Arabidopsis thaliana: one gene and its partner. The protein of the gene in region 1 interacts with the protein of each later gene in a pairwise test. Each region holds a gene or a part of one and is shown on either strand. Other genes may lie near its edges. The genes, in order: SNRK2.1 and AT5G45360.

What was found.
Region 2: the proteins of SNRK2.1 (region 1) and AT5G45360 interact in a two-hybrid assay, tested with the Arabidopsis thaliana proteins (one study listed by BioGRID).

The regions. Positions count from the first base shown.
Region 1 is NC_003076.8:2,781,103-2,786,659, forward strand, and holds SNRK2.1 (SNF1-related protein kinase 2.1), read left to right. Parts: upstream 1-2,065; 5' UTR 2,066-2,434; coding exon 2,435-2,554; exon of another isoform or gene 2,555-2,786; coding exon 2,787-2,861; intron 2,862-2,937; coding exon 2,938-3,039; intron 3,040-3,153; coding exon 3,154-3,207; intron 3,208-3,384; coding exon 3,385-3,477; intron 3,478-3,638; coding exon 3,639-3,731; intron 3,732-4,061; coding exon 4,062-4,166; intron 4,167-4,255; coding exon 4,256-4,354; intron 4,355-4,446; coding exon 4,447-4,767; 3' UTR 4,768-5,011; downstream 5,012-5,557. Other genes in the region: AT5G08580 (Calcium-binding EF hand family protein), read right to left, coding at 1-2, 94-190, 274-447, 537-602, 719-821, 1,079-1,281, 1,456-1,859; AT5G08600 (U3 ribonucleoprotein (Utp) family protein), read left to right, coding at 5,196-5,465.
Region 2 is NC_003076.8:18,383,841-18,388,613, reverse strand, and holds AT5G45360 (F-box family protein), read left to right. Parts: upstream 1-1,742; 5' UTR 1,743-1,943; coding exon 1,944-2,006; intron 2,007-2,323; coding exon 2,324-2,527; intron 2,528-2,609; coding exon 2,610-2,683; intron 2,684-2,796; coding exon 2,797-2,872; intron 2,873-3,022; coding exon 3,023-3,133; intron 3,134-3,217; coding exon 3,218-3,392; intron 3,393-3,475; coding exon 3,476-3,652; intron 3,653-3,760; coding exon 3,761-3,831; 3' UTR 3,832-4,125; downstream 4,126-4,773. Other genes in the region: UMAMIT1 (nodulin MtN21 /EamA-like transporter family protein), read right to left, coding at 1-203.

The DNA of each region.
Region 1 (5,557 bases):
GCCTGGACGATTAGAAAAAGAAGAGATAAATCATAAATGTAACATGGAACAATTCAGCAGCTAAATACACCATTTATTTGGAAAGTTATGTACCTGTGATATTATATAATCAGCTTGTTGCTTTGCATAATAATGCTCAGTAGGATGGATTTTACTGATAATGGGAAGCAATTCAACGTCTGATAAGTACCTGTAGATAAGTGGCAATTATGTTAAGGGATGTATGGTATTAATGGAAATGCTAATCATGGTGTGTACTCGTATATTACGAACCCGTCATCATTTTTGTCAAGCTGAGAAAACAACTGCTTTGCTGGGCCTTCAGGCAAGTCATGGTAAGGATGCGTAGAATTGTGATTGTCTTCTTCGTAGTTCCTTACAGTGTCAAAGAGGCCGTGGAAAAACTCTTCGAAACTGATCTTCCCATCTTTATCTGAATCCCTTTCTCTGGGAGAGGGAAGGAGGGGAATCCGTTGATAAACATTAAGCTAAAAGAAAGGTTCCTCGGAAATAATCATATGACAACCGTACATTACCTTACTTCCTCCTTGCATAACCATAACAGTAACTTTGGGTTCTTGGTGTCAGCAGGATGCAGAAAGCTAAGGGAATTAACCAGCAAAAACATTGTGAGAAATAGAAAGAAAAAATAACTGATAGTACTAAAAACCTGAAATAGCTCGGTTGATTTCTATCTACACTAGAAGAAAACGCTTACTCGTTAAACTCTGTTAAATTCAGAAGACCATCACCATTTGCATCTGATGCATTAAAATGCTCCTCCTTCCACCAGCCCATATCATAGCCAAACGAATTATTATCTGTTAAATTTATAACCAAGTCAGCTAGCAGTCCTAAGAGACAAAAGTGAGATCATTTGCTTAAAATCGCAATCAAACTGTGGTCCAGAATAAGGAAAGGATTATTATATAGGTCATAGGCAGAAGAGCTAGAAGTGAAACACAGATTAAAGCAAATCTACTTACAAGACTGTCATCAAATATTTCTACATGGTCATATTAAGTAGCAAACATTTTAGTCAATGAAACTCAAAGACGAACAGGAAACAGCAGCTCACCCGACTTACGGACCCAAGACGGTGGTTCATATTCAGAGAAAGAAATAAAACCATCTTTGTTTCTATCATGAACATCCAGGTCTCGTTGAGTTCTGTGCACAACTTCCTTGGCAGAAGACTGCATAGTCCACTCAGTCAATTCACTCTCCGTCATAAACCCATCAGCAGGAGAAACATCAATCTTCGGAAACAACAATATCAGCCTGCAAAGTACCATAGCAATCAAACTCATTCCTTACAAAAATGACATCTTTAGTAAATGCTAAACTAAAATCTTCAAAGATCCAAACTTTGAAGGAAATTGAAGTACACATTGTTGCAATTAGCGCTCAAAATCAAAGATTGGGAACTGAAGATATATATAAGTATAACCAAACCTATCAGTGACATTGAACTTCTCCTCATCATTTAAGTAATCCTCAGCATCCATGAATTCTTCCCACTCAGGCTGCGACTCGTGACCAGGTGCATGTTCATGTCCACCACCGGTTGTTTCTTTCTGAGAATGAGAGACAAGCTCCGGGTGAGAATGCTCAATGTACTGTCGCTCCCACTCCTTATCCTCGCGGCGGCGCTCCATGTCGGCGACAAGAGGATCAAACGGAACTGGATCGTGACGAGTGGGTTTGAAATTGAAAGAAGACCGGAGTTTTAAGCGGTGATGTTGATTGTGACCACCATGGTGGTGATCGTGGTCACCCTTCTTCTTCGGTGAATAAGAGACGAGGAAGAGCACCAGGATTCCTACCGTAATGTATAGGATCACCGAAGCTTTACTCATTGGGTATTTTTGTGTAACAGAAGTAGAAAATCTCAGCTTGAAACCCTAATTTTGTTGGCTGAAAGTTGAGGTTTTTACACTTGGGAAGTGAAGAAGATTAGATCTGTTGGAAAGATGGAGTCTTGCGAATATATATCTATAGAAGATTTTGACTCTAGATCTGTTACGACCAAATTAGTCAAATGGTTTGTAGTATTTAAGAGAGAGCCCACAACACACATCAATATTGTACATTTATTTCTCTAAACGCAATTTAAATGATTAAACGAATTTCTGCTAATTTTGTCATTTCGAGAAGAATTGAAACAACCGTTGGATTCACTTTCAATCAAAGCTTAATAATTGAAAAATCTAGCAGATTACACTCCACGTGGTCCAGTCCACCATCTTCTTCGTTTACTCCTTCCTACATCGATATTATACACACATGCGTGTGTATTGGATCTCACGATTTCTTATCAATGGAACTCGCTTCTCTTTCTCAGATCCCCATCCAAATCGTTTTATAGGTAGATTAGATAGATAAACTACGGATATACTCGAACTCTATCCATTTACGGTATTGATTTGGAAATATGGACAAGTATGACGTTGTCAAGGATCTGGGAGCTGGAAATTTCGGTGTGGCTCGCCTTCTCAGGCACAAGGACACCAAAGAGCTTGTTGCCATGAAATACATCGAGAGAGGTCGCAAGGTTTGTTTTTTTCCTTTTTGTTCTTACTATTTTTGGGTTCTTTCTGTTTTGAATTGGGGTTTAAAGTTTTTACTTTTAGCTCAGTGTGTATGTTCAAATTCATTATTTGAAGTCTCCTTGCTATACATTTGTAGGAAAATTTGAGAAATTTGGGGTTTTGATAACAACAGATCAAAATGATGATGATAATTTAGTTTTGGATTGTTTGGTATATATTGATCATGGATTGCAGATAGATGAGAACGTGGCGAGAGAGATTATTAATCACAGATCACTTAAACATCCTAATATCATCCGGTTCAAGGAGGCAAGTCTCTTTTTTGTGTGGCTCTTTATAGTTTATCTAAGAGCTGTCTTGGGATCTGATTTTGATTCGGTTCTAGGTGATCCTGACACCTACTCATCTTGCTATTGTGATGGAGTATGCTTCTGGAGGAGAGCTCTTTGATCGAATCTGTACTGCCGGTAGATTTAGTGAAGCTGAGGTTGCTTTCTCTTTGTAAAGTCATACACTTTGATCCATATATTTTCTTCAACATTTTCTGTGATCTTATTTATGTGTGTGTATAAGTTTTTGCTTTTGATCTTATTCATTTCAGGCTAGGTACTTCTTTCAACAGCTGATTTGTGGTGTTGATTACTGCCATTCCTTGGTATGTATATAGTAGTTCTTAGAATATACATTAAGCTGAAAAGGAAAGTTATGTGCTGCCTAATGAGGCATTCGTGGAGTACTATTGATGTTTTTGTTCCCAGAGTCTTTGTTTGAGATTTGGAATTTAATGCCTCTGTCCTTGTGTAACCTTCCCCTCTCTTTTGCTTCTGTGCAGCAAATATGTCATAGAGACCTGAAGCTTGAGAACACACTGCTCGATGGGAGCCCTGCTCCGCTTTTGAAAATCTGTGATTTTGGTTACTCTAAGGTCTGCACTTATCCATTTCCCTTTTCTTTTCTTTGCTCAGTTTTTCTCAATCTTCAATCCAAAACAGATTAGCATGTTCTTTAATCAAAAGTATTATCTATTCACTCCTCTCTTGATTCTTATATCTTTGTCATGTTTTCAATTTGATTTCTATGGTGTAGTCATCTATACTACATTCTAGGCCTAAATCAACTGTTGGAACTCCAGCTTACATAGCACCTGAAGTTCTTTCACGGAGAGAATATGATGGCAAGGTACAGTATTTTTGTCTTGTTATACATACATATCAGTTTGTCATTAACGCTTGATTGGTTGTCAAAGTAAGCAAATAATGTCATCAAGGGAAAATATGAGGATAGAAAGTTATAGACTGCTCAAAGATCCAGGCTATAGAGTCCTTCTAGTATATCTTTTTTAGTGGCATGGTCTGTGTGAAACTTTTCAGGTTATTGTACTTCTAATAAGATTTAAGTGGGGTCTTAATTAAAAAATTTGACGGGGTGCTAATCGATATTTTTTCCATGATTGTCATAAGAGCACATACACTGGTTTTGGCTCTCATATATATGACTGCGTTTTTGTAGCACGCGGATGTGTGGTCATGTGGAGTAACCCTTTATGTGATGCTGGTGGGAGCTTACCCGTTTGAGGACCCTAATGATCCAAAAAACTTCAGGAAAACAATCCAGGTAACTCCACCATTCAACAATTCTGATTTACTTCTCATCTTATTTATCAAGTGTCTCAATGATATCACAATTCAAATGGTATTCTGCAGCGCATAATGGCTGTACAATACAAGATCCCGGACTATGTTCACATATCTCAGGAATGCAAACATCTTCTCTCTCGCATATTCGTCACTAACTCTGCTAAGGTAACTTAACAATTCCGGTTTCAAATTTCTAGCTATATCTTGTGAGGAAGATATCTTGCAGTTCTGATTGTTGCCGGTAACACTCTTGCCAGAGAATCACACTTAAGGAGATCAAGAATCATCCGTGGTACTTGAAGAATTTGCCAAAGGAGCTGCTAGAGTCGGCTCAAGCGGCGTATTACAAGAGAGACACAAGCTTCTCTCTTCAAAGCGTAGAGGACATAATGAAGATAGTTGGAGAAGCAAGGAATCCAGCTCCATCAACTAGTGCTGTCAAAAGCTCGGGCTCAGGAGCTGATGAAGAAGAGGAAGAGGACGTTGAAGCTGAAGTGGAAGAGGAAGAAGATGATGAAGACGAATACGAGAAGCATGTCAAAGAGGCACAGTCTTGTCAAGAGTCTGACAAAGCTTAAAAAGAAAAATGCTCTCTGTTTCTCTTACTTTATTTCTTCTTCAAGAACACTCCTTGGTGAGTTGGTGACTTGCTTCTGGTAAAAAGAAAAACACATTTGTCAAAGCCAAAGGCTGTAAACTACGTGCTGGTTGTTTCACTTTTAGATTGATGTCGTTGTACTGAGTAATGAGCATGAAACAGAAGGTTTATATTATTATATGATACTATACTATAGGTTTTCGTCTTTGTGATGATGATTTCAGTTCACCTATAAAATCCGAATAAACCGAATCTGAACAAGATTTATAAACCGAAAATCTGAAAAACCGAAAAGAACGAACCGGATACTAACCGAAACCGGGATTTGAACACTTAAGGTTAAGGGTCGAGAAACCCTACGAAAGTGTATCTCTCTCAATCTCGACAGGTTTCAAAACAGAGACAGTCATGGGAGGAGGAGAGAAGAGGAAATCTAGTTTCAAAAACCTAGCTAATGCAAAGAAGAGGAGAACAGGACCTCACTTACCTAGCTCAATACTCAAGACCATTGCGAATGAGAAACGTCCTTTGAACTCTGACGAAGGAGACGATGAGATTGATTCTGCTTACGGTGATTTTTACGAGTACGAAGAAGGTGTGCCTGAAGAGGAATCTAGGAAAAACAACCGCTACGAACGCGTCGTTAACTACGAATTCGAGCTTGCAGAGGATTGCGAGGTTTTTCCAAGTCTTACTATTGCAAATTCTTTTTCTTTTAAGTTGCTGTTAATCGACAAGTAAAGTTGTTTGGGTAACACGTAATAATCTAG
Region 2 (4,773 bases), about 16 Mb from region 1:
AAAGCGAGAGGTGCGAGAATGGAGAGAGCAAGAAGATCGCGAAAGACACAAAAAACGAGCTGATTTACACCAACGTTAAGAGCTACTTTCGTAACCACATGGTATCCTCCATTTATGACCTGAACCAATGTCATTGCAGAGTGAGCCATTCGTGTTTCTCTCTCCGTCGCATCGCCGCCGTTTAGGATCGCCGGAGCTGCCATTTTTCTTCTCTACCTCCGAATCGAGGAAGAAGAGAAGGAACACCTGTTGACTAAAGAAATTGAGATCCTTTGATTTGCTCTGTAAATTGTAATTCTAACTTCTCTGTTTTTTCGTTCCAAAAAAAAAAAAAACTTCTCTGGTCATTGTAGTCGTTGGTCTTCTTCAATTTGTTAACTATGATTTTTTGTTAAGTTGAGGCAAAAAAAAATTTGCCAGATTATTTTCTTAAATCTTATACACATTGAAGCCTAACAGATTAACACATTTGTTAAATATGCTCATATATCCTACTTAAAAAATATGAAAATTTTCCACAAAAAATGGTGTAATATAAAAATTCGGTTTACTCGGGTTAAACGGTTCGGTTTGTTCGGTTTTCCGGGTTTTTCGGTTTTCAAAAATTCTGCCGAATTGAACCGAACAAAAATTCGGTTCGGTTCGGTTCGGTACTCGGTTTTTTCGGTTCGGTTACTAGGATTTATAATTCGCCGAAATTAAACCGAATTTTTTTTAATCGGTTAACCTAATCAGTTTAGATCACAATATTAGGCATAGTGGGCTGTTTTTAAAGCCCATATCGGCTTTTGACATTTAAAAACCCAAAACTTTTTTTTTGAGGGACAAGTAAAGTCAAAAAGCCCATGACGGTTTTTAACTTTTCAAAACCCAAATTCTTTTTTTCCAGGGACAAGAAAAGCCCATCACACCCATCTAGGGTTTTGTTTTGTTTTATTTTTTGGAAATGACGGCCGTCAAAGAAAAACAAGGGTGAGATGAAGAAGAAGAACATTGAAAACAGAGAAAATAGATTTGTATTGTGCGGTGGTGAGAAAAGATGTAGAGAACCATGAAATCATTGCCAGAGAAGATCGATGTCGCGGTGGCTTAATAGAATATTTCTGCGAACCTAAAAGGTGGAGAAGAAGAACGAAGACAAGGAGAAGAAGGAGGAATAAGGAAGAATTAGAAGGTTAAAAGATAAAAATGGGTTAGAGATGAGGAGAAATAAAGGTGTTCGTGAAGAGGAGAGTTTAGAAAACAAAGAAGATGAAGTGATAGATCTAGGATTTTTCTGTTTTAAAAGGTATCTCCCCAATCCGAACAAAACCGATCGGTTTTGATGAACCGAACCGAAAAACCCGAAAACCGAAATCAATTTAAAATTCTACCGAACGATTTACAACAGAAAATCGGTTTGAAACCGAAAACCGAAATCGTCGGTTTGTTCGGTTCGGTTTAAACGGGTTATGCCGAACTTCCAGGCCTAATTTTTACAGTGTAATACTGAAGTTGGTAAAATATGCCTTTATTTATGTCGATTAGTGGATCTAGTAATATAACATTTCCTTAAATGAAAAAACTCCTTAAAAAGTAGTTGCTGATCCAATAACAAATGTTCTGTTTTAAGAAAATTTAATTATAGTAGTAGTTCGAACGTCGTTAACTCGTAATAATAATTCAGAAAAATGTTGTTATTTAATCACGTTTAGAAAGCTAATTTGTATTAATGACGCTAACGACAAGGAGGAGGGTTAGTGTTATGGGCTTATTTATTAATATATGGCCCATTTAGGTTATTAGCCCATTTATCAAAATTATTCGGCCCGAGGTCGTCTCCAATCTCACGCCACCGATTCCAAACGCCAACCCTCTCGAGTCTTGTCTCTCTCCAATCCTTTCCTTGGCCGCATAAACGCAACCATCGTCGTCGGAGCTTTGATCTTCACCGACTGAAAAGTATGTCTGTTTCCGATGAGGAAGATGAGTGTTTCGCTCGATTCCTCGAATCAGAAGTCTCATCGGTATAAAAATTTCTCCGTTTATTCAAATTTTCGATTTCATTTAGGGTTTAGTAATTTCTTCTCCATCAATCTTTGAATTTTGTAGCTGAATCTGAAATTCTGTCGAGATTTTCCCGTTCCCCTAGTTTTTTTTTTCATTTTTGATAACTTCAGTTCCTTGATCTGTAAATTTGATCTTATATGCATACATTTGAAATTTTTGAAAAATCACATAATTTTTGTTCATGTTCTTCGATTGATGTCCATTGTGATTTTGCTCTTGTTCAGCGTTGTCCTGTGAAAGGTTAGATTATTTATTGATGCTTTGGTTTTTGTAGGTAGAGGATAAAGAAGAAACGAAAGAACCTGAGGCAAAACGGCAACGTATTGAGAAAGGCGAAACAAAGGCTCTAGAGAAGGATGAAGATCAAAAGGAAAATGGTAACAAAGATAAAACTGATGCAAAGAGAATAGAGAGTGGAGTTTTCACCAATGTTCCTACTGAGCTGTTTCGTCATATTCTCAAGTTCTTATCTTCGGAGGTATATACTATATAGTTCAAACTCGAACTTTATTGATGTTTGAGGATTGCTTTTAAACTAAATTGTTTGAATGTCATTACAGGATCTTGTATCATGCTCCTTGGTTTGTAAATTTCTCAATTTTGCTGCGGCTGATGAATCCTTATGGCGTCGCCTGTAAGCCTCTTCTTGTACCCCTTATTGTCGTTGATAATCTTGTTTTCAAAATCAATACTTTGTATTCAAAAACGATGTGATGATCTTATTGGTTGTTTTTTGTTTATATGCAGGTACTGTATCCGGTGGGGTCTAACTCTTCCAAGTAGAAAGTTACGTGAATCTGCTTGGAAGAAGCTTTATATTGATGTGAGTTTCTCCTTGGTTTTTCGTATAAACTTGTTAGATGTTTCCAAGTAGTATTACATTGCTGAAGAATATACAGTGTTAGTTTGCGTTGCTAGTAGAAGTCAGATCATATATATTTTTAAGTGATTCCTTTCTCTTGTCGAATTTTAGCGTGATGAACAGGACATGATTGAACTTGTCAGAACCTGTCCGTCGGATTTCAAGGAGTATTACGTACATATGCAAGCAGCAAAGAGAAGCCAAGCACCTCTTCCGTCCCAGGTAACTATTTATAATTATCTGTTTATGTTTTAGGACAAATCATCACGTGAAGAATTTTCTCATGTTCTTGTTTGCAATTTTTAGATGGTGGATGACCGGATAATTCTTGACAATACTGTACTTGAACAAGTTTCTCTATGGAAGAAAAGCAAAGGACTTACTGATAAGGCTGTCACTGGCCATATTTGTTTGGGAACCAAATGTTCATACCATCAGATTGACGACGTGTTCATATGCAAAGAGACGGGAAATGTTCATGGTATGTAATGAAATGCTGTAAAATGTAACTTTGTTACTGTGTTTTACTCTAAACTTACATAGTTTTTATGGTCTTTATAACAGTATGCGATGATAACTGCAAGGAAGTAATACTGAGTCCAGAGGGTGACCTCATGGTGTGTACTATCTCAGGAGTTTGTTCTGATACTTTACTTGTACAAACTGAGCCAGACGCAGATGGGTGTTATGAGGAAGAAGCTGAACTAGAAGCTGAAGTATTCACAGATAAAAGCCGATTAGGTACACATCTATCTATCTCTTTCTCATATCTCTCACACACTTCCTTTTCCAAATATTATTTTTATTTTCCAACATAAGTGAACTATTTGCGTCTTCTTTTCATCGCAGCCCGAGCTTTTGAACTTGGCTACAACTGCGATGATGAGCAGGAACTGGAACGTACCCTGAGGTTCTGCTGAGCAAAAGTCTCGACCTTTTGTCCAATTTCATAAGGCCTACTTTCTGTAAGGTCTTCTCTCTCTCTCTCTCTCTGACCTGATTCTGCCTGGGTTCTGTGGAGTTGAAATGAATCAAATGTAGCTCTTGTTTTAATCAGTCAGCTTTGTAACGTATACATATATATCATTGTATGTGATTAACATTGTCCTTAAAAAGTGTTACACCTAGTAATTACGTTCCAACTTTATCAGTAAACCTATTGGTAACTAGTAATTTGCTCCCGATATTGGTTTTCTCATTAATTTTTATAGCCATTCTTTGTTCATTTAAACCATATTACAAATTTGTCCTGGTTAGAACTGATTATGATGACAAATCGATGATTAGTTCAAAATGAAGTTTATAGCAATATATTCTAATAACTATACATCAATTATCACCACTGATGTGTTTGAATGAAAAATGAATTGATAATCTTAATAAATGTTTGATTTTATAGATAAGTATAAAGTATGAATGGATTTAGAAAATTTTAGTATTTAGTGAGATAAGCATAAGCAAAACTAGAAAAATGAAATTATTATTAAATAAATTCATTAATACACATTGGCAATGTGACATTGCCTAAAATCAAATATGTACTAATTCAATTAATGTTAATAAGAATTTTTTGGATTCGATTCTCTTGCGAAAGTGCAAATTAAAAGACATTCTTATCTCCTACGTAAACAGAATCACGCGTCCATTGCGCGTTCTCGCAACGCTAAAATATTTACGTTGGAAAATATTCTCATAATTCTCTCCTTTGCCCCCACAGTTTAATATATTTCATAAACACCCCCACGAGAAATTAAAAACCGTTCCAAATTTGAAAAAATACAACAAACAATTCATGAAAATATTCAATCTATAAGCAAAACATTGGTAGTGTTACATGTGTCGTCCTTCGTGCTGAAAATTTG